2 linked regions of the Xenopus tropicalis genome follow. Each later gene encodes a partner of the first gene's protein in a complex. Links are inferred from orthologs where the notes say so. Each region holds a gene or a part of one and is shown in the gene's direction. Other genes may lie near its edges.

Region 1 (10,284 bases):
GTTTTTCTTTGCTTCCTTGTGCAGAGTGAAGCCCCGCCCCCACTTCCTGTTCAGGTCTCTCATCAAAAAAAAAAAAACCCCTGCTAATGCACAGACTGGCACCTGCTTCCTCCAGGCATGCCCAGAAGGCTCTCCAGGTCGACTACAGGTAGTCGAATTGAAGAGAGAACTGAACAGGAAGTGGGGGTGGGGCTTCACTCTGCACAAGGAAGCAAAGAAAAACGATTACCTTCTAACTGAGGAACCAGGCCAGAGAGAATACTGGGACAAAGGTAGGTAATTCTGGAGGCTGTTTAGAGTAATTTTACTTATAGAAAAAAAAGGTTTACCGTATATACTCGAGTATAAGCCGAGTTTTTCAGCACTAAAAATGTGCTCAAAAAGTAACCCTCGGCTTATACTCGAGTATACCTCCCTCCACTTGTATCCGTCCTGCACGTAACGCGTTCGAACCCCCTTGCTTGGCCGCCGAGTATAGTGATGAGTCGCTGTGCTGATCTGCCAGCCACATAATCTGCAGGCAGTTCTTTACCTGCACTGTCCGGACCAGGAAGCGGGAGCATTCTTCAAACAGAGCCGTAAGCTGGAACATATCTGCCACCTCGTACGTCGCATAGCGTGTGCGCGCATGGACACCGTGCACTCCGTTGGCTCTTGATCTGACGATGCAATGCACACACACTCACCTCCGAGCGCATTACATCGTCAGATCAAGAAGAATGCTCCCGGCCCCGCTTCCTGGTCCGGACAGTGCAGGTAAAGAACTGCCTGCAGATTATGTGGCTGGCAGATCAGCACAGCGACTCATCACTATACACGGCGGCCAAGCACCTGCGCAAAAACTCACTTGTCCCAGATACTGTACATGATTCAGAAGAGTTCCTTAACCTTGCGTGCACGGACTCACCTCCATCCATGGGGGGCGGCTTCAAGATCAGCGCACGGCCAATCACAAGTTGCCCAGTTCGGTCGCACCGCATTGTGGGATATGTATTTCTAAGGAGGCGATTGGTGCACGGATGGGCTTGTCATGAGTGGCAGTCTCTGGCCACTAACAAGGAGGGGAAGGAGCGGAGTTCTTAAGGCAGTGGGGGTCAAGGGGAAGCAGGATGGGACCAGCAAGGGGCAAGTCATTGGTGAGTAGGAGTGGAAGCGTGGTGGCCATTGTAACTGTGTAATAAGAGTGTAAGCTCTTCGGGACAAGCCATTAGTTTAGTACCCCCTCCCCTGATCTACCTAGACACACGTCCGTTCACGGGGGGCAGGGGGGGGTTGGGTGCGCGTTACATCTTCTTGGCACTTCAGCAGAATGGCTGCCAACAGGACTTCCCCTTTATACTGTATGTAAGGAAGATTTATGCACCAAGCAAGTCCTTTTTACACTGCCTACACTACAAAGACACCTGCCTTTTGCTTTTACATCAACTGTGATTTGTGTTTCTTCCTGTGTGAAACCACACACAAATACAGTCTGATGAATACAAAAAAATAACAAAAGAAAAGTCAGAGAATTTTACTGCCCTAATGACTAGAATCTCAGCCATAAAGCAGAGCTGCTGTACTGCAATCACAAGACTGATTTTCAAAATGTAAGAAAATTATTTTTGTAGTACTGTGGTGGGACTTGTACACTGGGGTCCAAGTACTTGATAATTAGTATGGCAGCTTCCTTAGCGTTCCCAAACTTGCTTTTGTCTGCTGCTGTAGCATTTTTCTTTCCCTAAAGTTATCTATTTATCTGTTATTTATTTGATTATTGAAACTTAGCAGTAGCGGCTGCATTTCCCACCCTAGGCTTATACTTGAGTCAATACGTTTTTCCAGTTTTCTTAGTTAATATTAGGTACCTCGGCTTATATTCGGATCGGCTTATACTCGAGTATATACGGTACTTATTCTTTAAAGACTACAAATTATAATTTTTACACCAAATGGGGTTTTTTTTTCCTTCTCTGATCATTTTTGCAGTATTTTATTGATCTGTATTTGACCTGGGGGAGGGCAGTGACAGAAGATTATTCCTACAAGTTCAAATTGCCCTTTATTACTAATTACAGAAAAGTCATTTCTGAGGCGTTTAAAGCAGTAGTACTTAACTTGATATAAATAAAAGACCCACTTTAGGCAAAAGTCACACTTGTAATTATCATACCCATGCAGAATAACGGTGCAAGATGAGTTGACCTTGCTGAGTATGGCTAGCTTTACTTCTTTGCCAAAACCCACTCAAGTGTTGGTCAGGACCTTTCCACAAAAGTCTGCTTGTAGTCTCTTTTGAACCAAATAACCCCTTGAGGCACGCCTCGCTCACAGCGCTTCTCTTTCTCCAGCCGCAAGTTCACCAAGAAAGCCCCTACAAGCAGCTCACAACGCAGTTTTGTGGAGTTCGTACTGGAACCTCTCTACAAGATTCTGGCTCAGGTATGTGGATGGTGTTAATAGTGCCAAGCTTATCTTTGCCCATCTGAGATCGCTTGATAATTTTAGCGCCTTCTCTGCGCTGTAGGTGGTGGGGGATGTAGACACCACTCTGCCGCAGACTCTAGAGGAGCTGGGAATTCATCTGACCAAAGAGGAGCTGAAACTGAACATCCGTCCCCTCCTGAGACTTGTCTGTAACCGCTTCTTCGGGGAATTTACCGGTAAGAGCCAGCTGCTCCTAATTTTGTTAAAGCGAGCTCACCGTGTATTGGATTTTCATTAAGGCTGTAAATTTGTGCTCTGCTTTTAAAACTTGCTTTGAATGTAACCTTTTAAGTAGGTTAAAGATTATATGGTTTAAAAATGTGCTTTAAATTCTGTTTAGGATCTTAAATCAGTCTTTGCTTGCCCCACTTATATGTGTTTTTTCTTTTTGAGCTTTTTTGCTGATGAAATTGTTGCTCTACAGGTTTTGTGGATATGTGCGTCCAGCACATCCCTTCACCCAAAGCGGGGGCAAGAGCCAAAATTGAACACACCTACGCAGGGGGCATTGATTGTGAACTAGGGGAGGCCATGAGTGAATGTGACCCAGATGTAAGTACACAGCTCATGCACAGATTACTTTTTTTTTTTCTTGTTTACTGTATGGCTGAAAATTCTCTGCTAGGTATTGATTCCACTAACAGATTATTTACATGTATGAATCCTGACTCAGTATGTGTTCACTATCCCCCACACATCTTTATTTTATGTAATAGTTTGAATTCTCAGCCTGCTCTCATGCAGCTAATGTAGAAGCACATGAAATCTGAAAAGAGGCGTACAGGAATCTGTAGCATCATTAGGTTCCAGACAAGGGATAGGGCTTTAACAGTTCACTGATATAACCTGGAATGCTATTGTAGTAATAGAAGTTTGTTTATGAAACATGAGCATTTTTTTAAAAATCCACTATAGGTTTTCTGTAGAGACAATTAAAAGAGAGTCAAAGTGTAAAATGACAAGGGGGTGCTATCTTTGTTGTGCCTAGGTGTGCAAATTACTTGTAAGCCTTTTCTCTGGCTTTACTCCCTGACACCCTGTTTTCACTCTCTGGTTATTGGTGCATGATTAAAGTAGGATAAGGAAAGATTTAAGTTCTGGCAAAACTGTAAGAGCACACACTCTAGATAGTGACCACAAGCATGCTGGTTTATATTTGATATAATTTGAAGTATCTTATTAACTGACATTCGCCACAAAACTGTTGCTCCCTTTCAGGGCCCTCTTATGTGTCACACCACCAAGATGTATAGCACAGATGATGGGGTGCAGTTCCATGCATTTGGGCGGTTACTGAGTGGAACAATCCATGCTGGGCAACCAGTCAAAGTTTTGGGAGAGAACTATACACTGGAGGATGAAGAGGACTCTCAAGTTTGCACTGTAGGGAGGCTGTGGGTGTCTGTAGCTAGGTGAGTGATATACAGGGGTGATTTGGACATGTTTTTCAAGCAGACTTGCTTCAAATTAGTCAGATGGCATCTCTGTTTAGAAACTGTGTCACAGTGCCTCCACTGGATTGAAATCAGGACTTTAATGTCAAAGGGGAACTAAAAGTCCCATCCCTAATCGCATAAACCTGACTGGGTAAAAGTCATGTGCCCGGTACCTGGTTCCAAAGTAGTTGGGCAGTGGGGTTCATTACCAGACCAGGGATCCATAGCAATAGTCATCGAGCAGGAGCATGATTACTGGCTGCCATCATGGGTTTTGTTTGCATTCACATGGGTAGCAATCAATAACGTAGAGCCTTGAGTTAAGCACTGAGCAAACATGGCAACTGCAACCCCACTGCTCAGCTCTGCATTTAATTTGGTTTATAATGTAATATTTGAACAATAATTTGCGGAAGATTAAGAATTTGGAAACAAAGGATCCCTCATAGAAGTATTACTTTCCAGTAACCTATGATTAACAGGTTTTGGGGGGCATGTCTAAAGAGAAGTGAATGAATAAGTCATATTTAGTTATCTGCCTCCCAAATGTATTGATCTTTCATTTAGGTATCACATTGAAGTGAACAGAGTTCCAGCTGGAAACTGGGTGTTGATTGAGGGTGTGGACCAGCCAATTGTGAAGACGGCAACCATCACAGAGCCACGGGGCAATGAGGAGGTATGAATGATTGAACAATTATACATAACAGTGACCACAGCTCTTTTATGAAGAGGGTATGATAACATTCTTTTTTCTGCCACATAGCAGTTTTTTTTGGCCCTGTTGTATTTTGGTACTTGCATCTCTGTTACACCGAGTGTGTTAGTTTACTGTGTGTAGAACTATAAGATTGGTTATGCCAGGACTTTTTTTTTTTTTTTTGCCTTAGTGTTTAGTCAAGTTCATTTTTGCATGCAGCAGTATCTGGTACAAAAATGCTTAAAACTTAACTTAGGCAATTGTAGTCTTCTGTGCATGTGTTTAACATGTAAAAGGTAGTTCCCTATACAATGTGGCACAGAGACTTCCCTCAGAGACGAAGCCACTGACAGGGCCTATGATTACCTCAACCAGAGACAGATTGATACAATTTAAGATCATGCACAGGCTTCAACTAACCCCCCTGAGACTGTATCGTATGAATAGACGTGAGTCATCTCAATGCCCCAAATGCAATGCCCTATAGGCAAACTATATACACCTCCTTTGGCAATGCCAAACCATCCAATCTTACTGGGCACAAATAATGAGCTATATCAAAGAGAAAACCCAAACATACTAACACCCAAGGTCTGCCTATTGGGAGTGGTCGATGACCTCACCCCAACAATCCACATGAGAACTCTCTTCCGCAGTTTAGTGTTCTATGTTAGGAAATGTATACTACTACACTGGATGGCTCAAGCCCCTCCCACAGTAGATAGATAGCTAAACCTGGCGGAGCTGGATAGATGCCACAGACTGAACTGGTCCCCTCCCTCCCCATCGTAAGGACCATTACTCTAGACTAGACTGAATGCAAATCTCATATGTGCTATCTTATTCAAAACTCAGGACAACATGATGTAAAACCACATGATGTTTATTAATGTTACACGTTTATATGTATTGTTTCTATGTTAAAAATGCAAAATAAAAACCTTTAAATAAATAAATAAAGGTAGTTCCCTAATTAGTGCTGTCATCAGGGAAATCCTTTGCCCTGCCCCCCAGTTTGCTCGTGCAAAAAAAGATTTCCCTGTCAATAGCTATTAATGTAAATCAGTTAGTACATTGGCCTAGATGTGTCAGCGCAGAGTATGCTATATCATCTCATTATGCAGACTATGTATTGATGTGTTTAAATGATCACTTGGTCCTGAGCAATCATCTAGGAATTAGCTTAATAATAGAGTAAAACCACTTATGCTGTTATAAATCAAATAACAATTTAATTTGAATCCTGCATCTTAGGCTCAGATTTTTCGACCGCTAAAGTTCAACACCACGTCCGTTATTAAAATTGCTGTGGAACCAGTCAACCCCTCAGAATTGCCCAAGATGTTGGATGGGTTGAGGAAGGTCAACAAGAGCTACCCTTCCCTTACTACCAAGGTACTGCTCAATTCTTCCACATAATATCATTTTAACCTCTACTGCTAGGCTTGAGGCTTAGCCTAAAATACCTGTTGTCTCTGTAGGTGGAGGAGTCCGGGGAGCATGTGATCCTCGGTACCGGAGAGCTGTATCTGGACTGTGTCATGCATGACCTCCGCAAGATGTATTCAGAGATTGACATTAAGGTTAGGCTGGGTGGTATCTGTTTGGGGAGGGTGGGACTCGCAGCCTACAGGACTTGGGGAGTAACTCAACATTTTGTTTTCAGGTGGCAGATCCCGTGGTTACCTTCTGCGAGACTGTAGTGGAAACCTCATCACTGAAATGTTTTGCTGAGACACCAAACAAGAAGTAGGTCCATGTTATTTATTAGCTTTTTCCTCAGAACTTTTCTTTGTTGCAAAGCACATTAAACAGCCCCTTTCTAGACTTAAATTGGAACAAGTACATGTCGGGCCATTTCAGTGCAGTTTCTGGACTTTGTTTTTTCGGGCTTTATAAACATGAAGCTCAGACTGCCCAAGTGGCCAGTGATCTTGGTCATCTTTCTAGTTATCTTCAATATACAGCACCTTAGTCATTTCATGCATCAACCTTTAACTGACCATTTATCAATGCTAAAGTGATGGCTTCTGGGACTTGAAGTGCCTTTGCTTTCTATGGTGGACAGAGATTCCCTGGAAAGCAGAAGGACTTCCATTTTCAGAACCCATCATTTCAGCATGGAACAAGGCGAGAGAGAGAGGTTAAATGACTTTTACATAAGCCCAAATAAATGTACTCATGCCAAACAAAGGGATGTTTTTTCCTTTAAGCAAAGCTTTTTAACAGTTTCATGACATTTTGGCCACTAGAGGCCAGTGTTTCCCACAGTGAGAAGTTCAATATTTGAACACAAATATCCCTATTTTTGTTTTGAAACATTTATTTCAAATGAATGGTTGGATAATATATATTTGCTGGAGCTGCCTCAGTGCTAACAGGCATGAGTTTTCTTTGCAGAAATAAGATCACAATGATTGCGGAGCCGCTGGAGAAAGGATTGGCTGAGGACATAGAAAATGAAGTGGTGCAGATTTCCTGGAACAGGTATTGCATGAGAACTGCACCCAGCTGTCTGAAAGCCGTGGTTGGGTTACACCATCATGTATCTTTTAGCCTTTTTACAGAGAGCCGTAAGCTTTGTGCATGTAAAGTGGGAATCTTTGTAGAATTCACAGAAGTGGTGGTGTGTGATACTGACACCAAAAATATTTTTAAAAATATGAATGTACATAAAATACCGATATCCTTCAAATTAGCGCTAAACATAGAAGATTCTGCAAATTTTGGTTCTTGATGCTGTAATGTATATGTTTAGTTTCTGTATATTGACAGCACCTGAAATATTGCCTCTCGTGATTGTTAAAGCTGTGTGTGAACTCTATATCTTTTCCTCTTCAGGAAGAAGCTGGGAGAGTTTTTTCAGACCAAATATGACTGGGATTTGCTTGCTGCCCGTTCTATTTGGGCTTTTGGACCAGACACAACTGGACCAAATATTTTGGTTGATGACACGCTCCCCTCCGAGGTAGGTGGCACTTGTGCAGTAGAGGAGATTGTTTGTTCTTGTACTCATCCTTTATCCTCCAGGCTTTCCTTACCTATTAGTGTAAAAGCACCTGCATAAGTTTTAGCTTTCCATGGGCAAAAGAACACTGATAAAATGACTTCTGCCAGTGCACCTATGGGTTAAGGCAGTGATCCCCAACCAGTGGCTCAGTAGCAACATGTTGCTCACCAACCCTTTTGATGTTGCTCCCAGTGCCCTCAAAGCAGGAGCTTATTTTTAAATTCTAGGCTTGAAAGCAAGTTTTAGTTGCATCAAAACCATGATTACTGCCAAACTGAGTCTCCTTTAGGCTGCCAGTCCACATAGATGTTACCAATTGCCAATCACAGCCCTTATTTGGCACCCCCAGGAACCTTTTGCATGTTTGTTTTGTTTTACATTTGAATGTGGCTCACTGGTGAAAAAGGTTGGAGACCACTGGCTTAAGTGATTACAGCTTCATGATTGGCTGATGTAACCTCTTTAGGTTATACTGCAGTAGTCTAGTATGATCCACCTGGTTTTTGTATCAGTTGATTGGGGTGCAGATGTTGCCTATAGTACCAGAACTCAGCTGGTGATTTAAATTCAGGTTTCCTTTTAGACAAAGACTTTCATTCTGCTCTCAGAATTATTTCTGCAATTGAGTTCCAGGGAGTGCAGATGAAATCAGAGCTGCCTTCCCTGGCCAAACATTTTTGTGCCAAACTAGCAAGGTATTGACACAGACAAAGCCTCTCTTATGAATGTCTAGTGCTCTTCTTCCAGGTACCACTTCTGCCAGCCAGGTTTGCATTTCCGGCCACTGGGAGAAACAAGCCAGCAGCCAAAATATAAAGACCGGCTCCCTTTTAAGATTTTTTTTAATGCTCACAATTCTGGTTGAGGAAGAAAAGCAGGTCCTGATTAAAGGAGAACTAAACCCTAAAAATGCTAAAGGGCTGTGGTCGCTTGGGCTGCTACAGAAGCCCTAACCAAAATGTACAACATTTTTAGCCTAATTCTTTAGTTAAGCTTTAGTTCCCCTTAAAATATTTTATTACAACGCAGTGATTAACAATTAACCTCAACCTACATCCATATTTGCCCCAGTGCTCTAGCAGCGACATTACCCTAGAGTGTAAATGCAGAAGTAGCTTGCTACAGGGATCTATATCTCTATATCTATCAGCTAGAGCTGCTTATGTGCACTGCCCATCAACTTGCATGTTAATGAAATTCTCCGTTGTGCCCTAATAGGTGGATAAGGCGTTGCTGAGTTCAGTCAAAGACAGCATTGTACAGGGATTCCAGTGGGGAACAAGAGAGGGTCCGTTGTGTGATGAGTGTGAGTATCTGGCTGCACCTTTCTCTGGTTCCGTCACAGTGTAACATTGGAAACATTCTACAGTTTGGCACTACAGGGAATTGCTGATTTTCTGCTCTCCTTTGCTCCTCAGTGATCCGCAATGTCAAATTTAAGATCTTGGATGCTGTTATCGCACAGGAGCCCCTACACCGTGGTGGGGGACAGATCATCCCCACAGCCCGAAGAGTGGTTTACTCCGCCTTCCTAATGGTAACATCCTTTGTCACCACATTGACTCAATACACATGTTCCTTTATATATAATACAGAAGTGTCTCTGTGCCCTAAAACTGTATCCCCCACTATAACAAACAAGCACCTTCATGTATATATGTATTTCCTGTCTATACCATACCGTCTCTTTATATAAGACATGTGCCTTGGTTCTTCTCTCTTAAACACAAAGTACTTTCCTCTGTAAATACAGGCAACTCCTCGTCTAATGGAGCCCTATTATTTTGTGGAAGTACAAGCCCCTGCAGACTGTGTCTCTGCTGTTTATACTGTTTTGGCCCGAAGAAGGTGAGTAATTGAGATTCCGCTTCCTGACCAACAGTATTGTCCCATAACATACTCTAAATATATTTCATTTTCTACAGAGGGCATGTGACTCAGGACGCCCCAATTCCTGGGTCGCCTCTTTACACAATCAAAGCCTTCATCCCAGCAATAGATTCATTTGGGTTTGAAACTGACCTGCGAACACACACCCAGGGACAAGCCTTCTCCTTGTCTGTCTTCCATCACTGGCAGGTACAAATCTAACCATCTGGGATATCCTGGGAAATCAACTTGGATATGGTTTGAAATAGTGGCACCCCCGTGATTTTACCACGCCATTTCCTGCTTTCTGACAGTTAGTGGCATACTGACATAGAACATCTTGCAAAGGAAGGGAAAGTAGAAGTTATTGATAGTTCATTACCCATTTTCTGTTTCTGCACCCCCCACTGTGCTTTGGGAAGGTGCCTACCCCTAGTTCTGGCGCTAGTATTTTCATAATGCACTGTGCCAGTTTGCTGTTTAACTTGCCTGCTATCTTTTGGTAGATTGTTCCTGGAGACCCTCTGGATAAAAGCATCATTATACGGCCCTTGGAACCACAACCAGCACCACACCTTGCCAGGGAGTTCATGATAAAGACAAGGCGTAGGAAGGTAAGTTCTATGTGGCTGAGAAGGAAGAGAGGGCAGGTTGTTCAAAGACTGTTTGGGGTTTCTTTTCATAAGCAATTTCAATCCTAAACAGTGTGTTTATGAGTAAATTGGTGGCTTTTCTGAGGAACTGCAATTCTCCGTGGCTTCATAAGCAGCTGTAGCACCTGGAGAAGCATAGGTTGTGGGGAA
Region 2 (10,384 bases), on another chromosome or scaffold:
TACAAATAGTCGGCCCTTTAATAGCGCAGATAAAGGGCAACCGCAAAGTGCTGTCTTTCGATATCGTGGCCATCGTCTCGTCCCATTGGCCGGCAGGAGAAGGAGCTGCTCACGCCCCCAGTTCCGCCCCCTGCGGAACAAATCCAGTGACTGATTCTATAGGAATAAACCCGGCGTCTCGGACATTCGCAATAAATAAACGAACCAGTTCCGCCATTCACACACACACACATAAAAAGATCACACTCCCTGAACCGTAAAGACCCGGGGCGGGCACTTGGGGCGCTTGTTCGGAGGCTCACGCACAGTAGTACCAGTCGTTGCATTTTACAGCGTTTTCGCCTTCCTTGTAAACTTTTTGCCTTTGTTAAAAAAAAATAAAAAATACGAAGCGTAGACTTTTTTCACTGGGGGCGGGGTCAGAGTTTGAATATCTCGTCCTCGTGATCTCTGATGGTGGATGCCCGCGTGGTGATGGTGAGCGGCACGGGGCCCAGGAGAGAGCGCTGCTGGGTCTGCGGGGAAGACTGGCTGGAAGGGGTGCGGTTGGGCGACTGATAACCCCCGGCGCTGCCCGCCGTAGGCTCATCTTCCGTGGTGCTGGAAATAATGGTGGGCACACGTTACAGAATTGCTTTTCTCTGAAGTCAGGTGACTTTTTGGCAGCCTCAGACCCGACCCAGACCAACACACCTGCAACATGGACCTGTCTGGCCAATAGGTTTCCCCACAGCTGACCCGCCCACCCCGCCACAAGCCCCTTAATCAGGAAGTGACATCTGAATTAGCGGGACCAACGATGGGAATCAGAGAGTGAGGTCACTACTAGTGATGAGCGAATCTGTCCCATTACGCTTCGCCGAAAAATTCACGGATCTTTCAAAAGATTTGCGAAACAGCTGTTTCGCGTTAAAAAATTTCGCCCGTGACTATTCTTTTGTCGCCCGCGCCTATTATTTTGTTGCGTGGCTATTCTTTTGGTGCACGGCTATTCTTTTGTTGCGCGGCTATTCTTTTGTCACCCGTGGCTATTCTTTTGGCGCCCGCGGCTATTCTTTTGTTGCTCGGCTATTCTTTTGTCACCCGTGGCTATTCTTTTGTCACCCGTGGCTATTCTTTTGTTGCGCGGCTATTCTTTTATCACCCGTGGCTATTCTTTTGTCGCCCGTGGCTATTCTTTTGGCGCCCGCGGCTATTCTTTTGGCGCCCGCGGCTATTCTTTTGTTGGGCGGCTATTCTTTTGTCACCCGTGGCTATTCTTTTGGCGCCCGCGGCTATTCTTTTGGGGCCCGCGGCTATTCTTTTGTCGCCCGCGGCTATTCTTTTGTCATTTTTTCATTTGTTTCACTAAACAATCCACCAATGGAAAAACGCGGAAATTCGCCGCGAATCCATGCCTGCCAAAACATTTCGCCCATCACCAGTCACTACTTGTTTGGGAGACCGGAAGTGACATCACCAACAGGCTAGATCACCAGGGGAACTCTAATTTGCCCCATTCTCACCCTGCCACCCGTATTAACAGCCCAGTAACCCTCTGTCATGATTTCAACCCTAATTTTACTTACCTGCCCCCCCTAAGTCCTCTAAATCAGGCAGAGCAGGGAATATGGTTAGGGGCAGGACTGGGGCAAGTATGTGGGTGGTAAAGGCGTGACCTGGGAGAAAAGGGGGTGTGGTTAGGAGGCACTGCAGTACTTTACAGCTGTGCCCAACTCCCTCTGTTGGGTACCCACAGACCGCCCACACACTCAGGGCATCAGGGCTTTTCTGCTCAAATCTTGTCCATATTCCGTGGCTACCCGGTCCGATGCAGGACTCAGCTATGTGACTACCAAATCAAAGGGCAGTTGAATCCTAACAACCACCAAATGTAACCCATAATGCCACAAGCACGGGACACTTAATGGAGAAGTGAACCTAAGAGAGCCAGTAAAGGGGAAGTAAAGCGGTTTATACATCAAACCATGCGTGGGAATGAACGTAGAGCTGGCTTGGTGGCTGCCATATTGTAACCTAAGGCTAACTAGCCCTATTCCGAGGTTCCCAGCATACTCACAAGGACTCCCCTTCCCGGAGTTTCTTCACCGCCGCCCTCTTGGAAACACGGATGTTGGTGTCCAACCTGCTCATGAAGTCCAATGGCGACATCTCGTCCTTCTGGGCAGCATGGTGTCGGCTCTTCTGCTTCTCGCCCCTCTCCGGCTGCTGCTGTATGGGAGACCCTTCGGCCCCTGAACCGTCCTGAGAATTCTGGTCGTCGGAGAGATGCAATTGGTCGGCCAGCACCGGGATGCAAAGGGACTTCTTGAGGAATATGGAGTCGTTTGTGTAGAGCCTGTTGGCTCGCTTGATCTGCTCCATCTGGAGACAAATGGCATTTATTTTGTGATTGGTCCAATTGACCCCCCCGAATACATTGACAAAGAGTGACAATTGGACCATTTGCCATTTCTTCTATGGGCATTTCGTGGGAATTTCCTGCAGTGCAGTTGTGTAAAGGGGAAGTGGTGGCTCGGAAAGAGGGATTTCTCAATCTCTGGCCACATCCCGGCCGACTGTCGGCTGCGCAGGGTGCGTCTAGTTTCCCTGCAACTTCCCCAGGAGGGGTCACTCAGCAAGGCTGCCCTTAGCTTAGCTGGGGATGTACCCAGTACCCTGCCAGCCTTACCCACTGCTAATCCCCCTGCCCATGTACCCAGTACCCTGCCAGCCTTACCCACTGCTAATCCCTCTGCCCATGTACCCTGCCAGCCTTACCCACTGCTAATCCCTCTGCCCATGTACCCAGTACCCTGCCAGCCTTACCCACTGCTAATCCCTCTACCCATGTACCCTGCCAGCCTTACCCACTGCTAATCCCTCTGCCCATGTACCCAGTACCCTGCCAGCCTTACCCACTGCTAATCCCTCTGCCCATGTACCCTGCCAACCTTACCCACTACTAATCCCTCTGCCCATGTACCCAGTACCCTGCCAGCCTTACCCACTGCTAATCCCTCTGCCCATGTACCCAGTACCCTGCCAGCCTTACCCACTGCTAATCCCTCTGCCCATGTACCCAGTACCCTGCCAGCCTTGCCCACTGCTAATGACTCTACCCATGTACCCGGCAGAGCTTCCCTCTTTGAAGACAGATTGTAGGGAAGAGAGGTGGGAGTCTGGGAGGCTGGTTAGTAGGAGATTGCAGTAATCTAAGCGAGAAAGGATAAGGGCATGGATTAGTGTTTTAGCTGTTACTTGTGAAAGAAAGGGGCGTATCTTGGCAATATTGCAGAGGAAAAATGGCAGATAACCCCAAGGCAGCGTGCAGAATTAACAGGGTTAACGGTCATGCCATCAATAGTCATGGTGAAAGGAGGAGAAGTGATATTTAAGACCAAAAGAAGAAATAAGGTCTCCTAAAGAGAGAGTGTACAGGGAGAACAGCAAAGGGCCAAGCAAAGGGCCCCACACTGAGCTGAACCCCCACACTGAGCTGAGCCCCCACACTAAGCAGAACCGGGGTAGGGGATTGGTTAGTAAGAGCGACAGAGAAGGAGCGGTTAGAGAGATAGGAAGAGAACCAGGATGCAGCCTGATCCCGGATACCCAGAGAATGGAGACTTTGTATAAGGACTGAATGTGCCCTGACAGTGTCGTGCACCAAATTCACCATATTTTCATTTCCCTTCATGTTTATCAGGCCCACCGGCTGTATCTGAACCCAATGCCTTCCTGATAACATCCTGGGGGGTTGGTTCTAGGGTGGGGCAGGTAAGGCATGTCCCCTGGGGGGGGGAGTAGAGAACTGTACAAAGGGCATATGAGACTAACAGCTGTTAGATATTACCAGTTATACACAAGGGGTCTCCAGCTGTTGCTAAACTGCAACTCCCAGCACCCTACACCCTATAATAGGAAGGTACCGTACTCACCGTGACGCCGTATCTGAGTGCCAAGCCCTGCAGTGTGTCCCCGGGCTGGACCTGGTGCTCCAGTTTGCGGATCCGGGCCGGTGAATAGGGCGACTGGACTAGGCTGCCATAGGAACGGGTCCTGGTTCCATGGAGAAGCCCAGAGTCTCTGTGCCCAGAGTTGGATGCCATGGCTTGTGAGCTCTAAAGGGCAAGTTAACTATACATTGTCTGACTGGGCAGAGGTGGAGGCAGAAGTGGAGGCAGAGATGGAGTCCCTGCAGCCCTCAGTCACATGCTGGGCTACTAATTCAATCAGACTGAAAGAAAAAGGGAGAATTCATTAGTATCACATGACAGCACTGACAGGGGTTTGCCCAAGGGGGTTGGGCTGGGCTAAAAGCTGCCCCAATACCCCCAGCACAGACCCACAGCCCTTCCAGCTGCCCAGCACAGGCAAGTACCCAATAATACACAGCTCACTGCTGGGCAGGGGTGACAGGAGCAAGGCATGCCGGGAGCAGTAGTGCAGCACAGGCTCTGCCCCAGGATTCGCGGCTCTCACGGAACTACAAGTCCCATAATGCCCGGACTCCGCCTCCTCCTCTCCGGAAATAAACTACATTTCCCGTAAGGCCGCAGAAAGGAGTACGGTGGCCGCGCAGGGTTACAGCTCTCAAAGGGGGCGCTACAGGCTGGGCTATGTCGTTTAAACGGGATGGGGATGATCTGAGCCAGCTGAACGTTCTAAAGGTACGGGGTGATACCCATACAGGGGAGGGGAGGGTGTCTGGGGGGGGAAGGGTAGGGTATGGTGTCTAGAGGTGGGGGGAAGGGTGGGGTAGGGAAAGGTAGGGTGCCTGGGGGTGGGGGGAAGGGTAGGGTGTCTGTGGGTGGGTGGGGTAGGGTGCCTGTGGGTGGGGGTAAGGAAGAGTAGGGTGCCTGGGGGTGGGGGTAAGGAAGAGTAGGGTGCCTGGGGGTGGGGGTAGGGAAGGGTAGGGCGCGTGGGGGTAGGGAAGGGTAGGGTGCCTGTGGGTGGGGGTAAGGAAGAGTAGGGTGCCTGGGGGTGGGGGTAAGGAAGGGTAGGGTGCCTGGGGGTGGGGGTAGGGAAGGGTAGGGCGCGTGGGGGTAGGGAAGGGTAGGGCGCGTGGGGGTAGGGAAGGGTAGGGCGCGTGGGGGTAAGGAAGAGTAGGGTGCCTGTGGGTGGGGGTAAGGAAGAGTAGGGTGCCTGTGGGTGGGGGTAAGGAAGAGTAGGGTGCCTGGGGGTGGGGGTAGGGAAGGGTAGGGTGCCTGGGGGTGGGGGTAGGGAAGGGTAGGGTGCCTGGGGGTGGGGGTAGGGAAGGGTAGGGCGCGTGGGGGTAGGGAAGGGTAGGGTGCGTGTGGGTGGGGGTAAGGAAGAGTAGGGTGCCTGTGGGTGGGGGTAAGGAAGAGTAGGGTGCCTGTGGGTGGGGGTAAGGAAGAGTAGGGTGCCTGTGGGTGGGGAAGGGTAAGGTGTCTGTGGTTTTGGTTTGGGGTGTGGGTAGGGTGCCTGTGGCAGAGTAGGGTGCAGTTGTAAGGGGGAAGGGTTAATTTAATATCCCATTTCCTGTCTCCCTACAGAAGAGGCGAGTGGCGGATCTGCTGGCCAGTTACATCCCGGAGGATGAGGCTTTGCTTCTTAAAAATGGCAGGTAAGGGTCTCTCCACTGATTGGTTCCCTCGGTGTGGGCCCCTGGGAGGGCTTGCTTCTATATACCCTTATATTCCGGGGCCCCTGCCTATCCCTCTGTGTAACTGTGTTGTGTATATAACAGCTACGCTTGCACCGTGTGCCATCACCGGCCCGTCTTCAGTACCATCGATATGTTGTCTGTGCACAGAAGCGGGAAGAAGCACTTAGCCGGTAAGTTACTGACTAGAAAAGAGATCCATTTCCTGTCTTATGACTTCATTTCCTCTCCAGATTTCTGACATAACGTCCTGTCTGGCATTTGCGGATCCGAAGACTTGCCTAGGGATGTTCCCCTGTTGATTTATTAATTATTTATTTTTGTATTTATAACTTCCTGTCTGACTTTGTGACTTAACTTCCTGTTATGACTTCATTTCCTGTATGCCATTTTAATGTGGAGCCTGTAGCTACTGGTCTCTGCCCCAATACCAGGTTTTATTCTGTCTCCTCCCCCATTATCTTTCTATACAGGCCCTCTTCTGTTCATATACCAGTTTCTCATTCATTCTGCTGCCTGGTTGCTAAGGTAGTTTGAACCCTAGCAACCACATAGCTGCGGAAAACTGCAAATAATAAAAAATGAAGACCAATTGCAGATTGTCTTAGAATATTCTCTATATCATACTAAAAGTTAACTCAAAGGTGAACATCCCCTTTAATGACTGGTCACATGTCTATAATACATATTTGTGCAATGGGCCGCTGACTCCCTCTCAACTCTCCTACAGGTCAGCAGCGGTATTACGGCAAGAAGCTGGAGCATAACAATGAGATCCAGAAGAGGCGCCATTTTGATTTTGTACAGGCAGAAGATGCAGGAGAACAGGTGGGCAGATTTCTCTTTCTCCAGGCTATTGGCTATTAGGGGGCTGTTCCTGCTGAATTGTGCTTAGTACAGGGGAATCCCTATGTGCCATAGTTTTATGGTATCTCTCTGTACAGGCTATGAGCAAACTTAGGGGGTTGTTCCTGCTGAATTGCGCTTAGTACAGGGGAATCCCTATGTGCCATAGTTTTATGGTATCTCTCTGTACAGGCTATGAGCAAACTTAGGGGGCTGTTCCTGCTGAATTGTGCTTAGTACAGGGGAATCCCTATGTGCCATAGTTTTATGGTATCTCTCTGTACAGGCTATGAGCAAACTTAGGGGGCTGTTCCTGCTGAATTGTGCTTAGTACAGGGGAATCCCTATGTGCCATAGTTTTATGGTATCTCTCTGTACAGGCTATGAGCAAACTTAATGGGCTGTTCCTGCTGAATTGTGCTTAGTACAGGGGAATCCCTATGTGCCATAGTTTTATGGTATCTCTCTGTACAGGCTATGAGCAAACTTAGGGGGCTGTTCCTGCTGAATTGTGCTTAGTACAGGGGAATCCCTATGCTGCCATAGTTTTATGGTATCTCTCTGTACAGGCTATGAGCAAACTTAGGGGGCTGTTCCTGCTGAATTGTGCTTAGTACAGGAGAATCCCTATGTGCCATAGTTTTATGGTATCTCTCTGTACAGGCTATGAGCAAACTTAGGGGGCTGTTCCTGCTGAATTGTGCTTAGTACAGGGGAATCCCTATGTGCCATAGTTTTATGGTATCTCTCTGTACAGGCTATGAGCAAACTTAGGGGGCTGTTCCTGCTGAATTGTGCTTAGTACAGGGGAATCCCTATGCTGCCATAGTTTTGAGTAACTTTTTTTTATTTGCTCTCATATCTGCCAGCGTCCACCAGGTCCCGCCCCTTTGCTGGTCCAGACAAGGAAGATTACCCAGCATGCTCTGCTGAAATCTGCCCCGTACAACAGCTGCTGCTCTCACAAGTAAATCAGTTGGGGCTGAGCATTATGTGAATGATTGATATAATAATGACCCATTGCTAATGGCCCCCGGATTTCTCTGTTCTTATGGCCAAACCATATTATCGACAATTATATTTCTCTGCTGTTTCTCATTTGCAGATCAGTAGCCAATAGCAGGAAAGTCTATGATTGCCATTCCAGCCTACCCACAGGCTTAAACCATCCCCAGTCTGGGCCCAGTGCATCTGATGCCTCCCTACATTCTCCCCCTAGTGGACACTGCAGCAGCCCTACAGGTGAGCCATTCGCCAGAGAGGATTCTGGGAGATTAAGATGACAACTGGACACTTTATTTATAGGGAGCCAATACCAATCTTAGCCAGGCTGCTACTGTATACACAAGTAAATCTGATCTGTATATAGGGCAAACCTGTGCTCCTAATGTAGCCAAACTACAACTCCCAGCATTACTGTGAATTGCACTCATTCATTCTCAGCCTCTCTTCGTTCCCCTATCCAGAGATTCCCAAGCAGGAGGTCCCGGCAGAAAAGCACGGCAGTCAGCACAAGAAGAAGGGCGAGGAGAAAGTCAAGAAGGAAATTCCAGACCCAGAGAGGGAGAGGACTATGGAGCACTACCTGCGACTGAAGAGGTAGGAGTTACCTTGCTGGGATTGCTAACCCCTGTTGGGGCAACATAGCAGCTCCCAGTAGGTATCAGAATAGCACTCAATAGTAAGAAATCCAAGTCCGGCTTGGGACTCCTCCAGTTACATGGGAGTAGGAGAAACAATAGGTTAGCTGAAAGCAGTTCTAATGTGTAGCGCTGGCTCCTTCTGAAAGCTCAGACTCAGGCACACTTTACTGCTGCGCTGCAAGTTGGAGTGATATCCCCCCCTTCCCTCACCCCCAGCAGCCGATCAGCAGAACAATGGGAAGGGAGCAAGATAGCAGCTCCCAGTAGGTATCAGAATAGCACTCAATAGTAAGAAATCCAAGTCCGGCTTGGGACTCCCCCAGTTACATGGGAGTAGGAGAAACAATAGGTTAGCTGAAAGCAGTTCTAATGTGTAGCGCTGGCTGAAAGCTCAGACTCAGGCACAGTGCACTGAGATGGCGCCTACACACCAATATTACAGCTACAAATACATTTGTTGGTTCAAGAATAAAATGTTAAATGGCAGAGGGAATTATTTGCTGTGTAACAGTGTCTCTTCCCCACAGCTCTGGGTGGCTACCTGACGGCACTGGCAAGTGGGTAAAGGATGAGAATGTCGAATTTGACTCTGATGAGGAGGAACCTCCACCCTTGCCCCCCTCCTGATTGGTGGGTTCTCCGTGTGATGTGACAGTAGCAACCCTGAAGGTGTAACGTCATCCACTTGGGGACAAAAGCAGCCGTGTGGGTACAGCATTAGCGACTGTAATACAGCCGGTGTGAAACAAGTGGGTGGGTGGCAGCACAGCTTGGCATTGCCTACAGGAACAGCGCCCACTGGTGTAATGACTGGGCACAAAATGACATTAGAATTCATGCACAGTCCTGCATTACCATACTCTGCCCATTAGAGGGCACTGCAGCCCAAGCATCCACTCTCGGATCTGTTTTCCAAAACCTTCCCGTCCCTTGGCATCTGTGCACTGCGTGAAACTGAGACACCTTGTTACTATATATGCCTTAAGGGCCACATTTCTGCGCTATTTATTGGTTCGGAGCCTGACTCTGAAACCTGAACCACACACAGATATATGGACTTTTATATGCAGGAATAAACCAGGCGCAGCCCCTTCCCAGAATAGAGTTAGCCCCAGTCAGTTGCACTTTCCCTTTAATCACATTTCTCTATTATGCCCAGTTTATGAAGGCGAAACATCTGGTTGATGTGGTTTACAGAGCAGGAGGATTTTCTCAGTAAGGAGCAGCAGTTCAACAGACGGGAGGGGGGGGGGGGGGGGGGTGACTGTACTTGCCGAGCTGTGAGTCCCCCACCCCACAAACCTTAGCCCTTCACCAACTGCTGATTCTTCATTATATAAATACACCACATGACCTCAGAGGCCGAGAGCCGAGCAGCAGTGGCTTTTTATAGAGCAAGGAGCTTGCAGACGTGTAAAGGAGCCCGGGGGAAGATATACCCCAGGGAACCACCATGATATTAACCGGGGGGGGGTCGGACTACGCGGGTGGCTAGCACCCAACCCAACCAGCTCTTGGGGTGCAATCTACTTGCCGATGGATCTATCTAGAATGCATTATGCAGCCATTGAGTTCAAAGTCACTTTATTTACAACTTGTTAAATATAATGTATTTATTTCCCCCCCAAACCCGTGGTATTGGCGTCACTTCAGCTCCGTCGCAGCCTTCGGCACAATGTCGTGAGCGTTAAAGTGCAGCCTGTAAGGAAAGAAGGTGCTGTACATGGAGGAAAAGGGCGGGGCTTAAGAGGGAGATAAGCAGCGGGGCAGCATGGGAAGTATCTGAGAAGGCCACTGAGATGATGATGATGATAACATAGTGGGGTAGAAACGTATATACAAGAGGAAAGACCCTAGTGTGCCCTGTTTATTCCACTTTATAGTCTCCTGAATATTCTCCGTGAATTACGCCCGTGGGGCCTAGCCAAATCCGCCCTCCGTCCAATCAATGCGCTGTACACAAACATGACACATCACAGAACAGAGCCTATTTATAGGTAACGGGAGAACACTGACATTTCGACAATCAGGAGGGCAACGGACTCCTTAGACCTTCTTCTGCTTGCGACCTAGAAAACAAAAGGAAGAGGCGGTTACACCGTCCCGCTGCTGAGGTCACAGGGAGCCCGAACCAATAAAAACAGGCGTAAGAAGTTTTAAATTTCTAAAATTACTCTGTACAACCCCTGGAATAATATATTTTTTTTCTACATGCAGATTTACTGTTTTGCTGAACAGCAGTTCTTTTAGTTACTTCCTTGTCTAGCATAAAGCTCAGAAAAGAGGGCGG

The links.
Region 2: eftud2 (region 1) and scnm1 share a complex: the UniProt entries of both Homo sapiens proteins name them as parts of the minor spliceosome. The link is inferred for Xenopus tropicalis from reciprocal best matches to the Homo sapiens genes EFTUD2 and SCNM1.

Annotation. Positions count from the first base shown.
Region 1 is NC_030686.2:17,876,895-17,887,178, forward strand, and holds part of eftud2 (116 kDa U5 small nuclear ribonucleoprotein component), read left to right. Parts: intron 1-2,330; coding exon 2,331-2,421; intron 2,422-2,506; coding exon 2,507-2,642; intron 2,643-2,890; coding exon 2,891-3,018; intron 3,019-3,684; coding exon 3,685-3,878; intron 3,879-4,469; coding exon 4,470-4,581; intron 4,582-5,856; coding exon 5,857-5,997; intron 5,998-6,083; coding exon 6,084-6,185; intron 6,186-6,268; coding exon 6,269-6,351; intron 6,352-7,002; coding exon 7,003-7,089; intron 7,090-7,443; coding exon 7,444-7,570; intron 7,571-8,830; coding exon 8,831-8,918; intron 8,919-9,030; coding exon 9,031-9,149; intron 9,150-9,365; coding exon 9,366-9,460; intron 9,461-9,537; coding exon 9,538-9,691; intron 9,692-9,987; coding exon 9,988-10,095; intron 10,096-10,284. UniProt on the Homo sapiens protein: Required for pre-mRNA splicing as component of the spliceosome, including pre-catalytic, catalytic and post-catalytic spliceosomal complexes. Component of the U5 snRNP and the U4/U6-U5 tri-snRNP complex, a building block of the spliceosome.
Region 2 is NC_030684.2:137,905,938-137,916,321, forward strand, and holds scnm1 (sodium channel modifier 1), read left to right. Parts: upstream 1-4,503; 5' UTR 4,504-4,598; coding exon 4,599-4,649; intron 4,650-5,495; coding exon 5,496-5,566; intron 5,567-5,689; coding exon 5,690-5,778; intron 5,779-6,335; coding exon 6,336-6,433; intron 6,434-7,320; coding exon 7,321-7,418; intron 7,419-7,556; coding exon 7,557-7,693; intron 7,694-7,917; coding exon 7,918-8,050; intron 8,051-8,621; coding exon 8,622-8,721; 3' UTR 8,722-10,140; coding exon of another isoform or gene 10,141-10,163; 3' UTR 10,164-10,222; downstream 10,223-10,384. Other genes in the region: lysmd1 (lysM and putative peptidoglycan-binding domain-containing protein 1), read right to left, coding at 420-600, 2,060-2,364, 3,918-4,088; tmod4 (tropomodulin-4), read right to left, coding at 10,141-10,163. UniProt on the Homo sapiens protein: As a component of the minor spliceosome, involved in the splicing of U12-type introns in pre-mRNAs. Plays a role in the regulation of primary cilia length and Hedgehog signaling.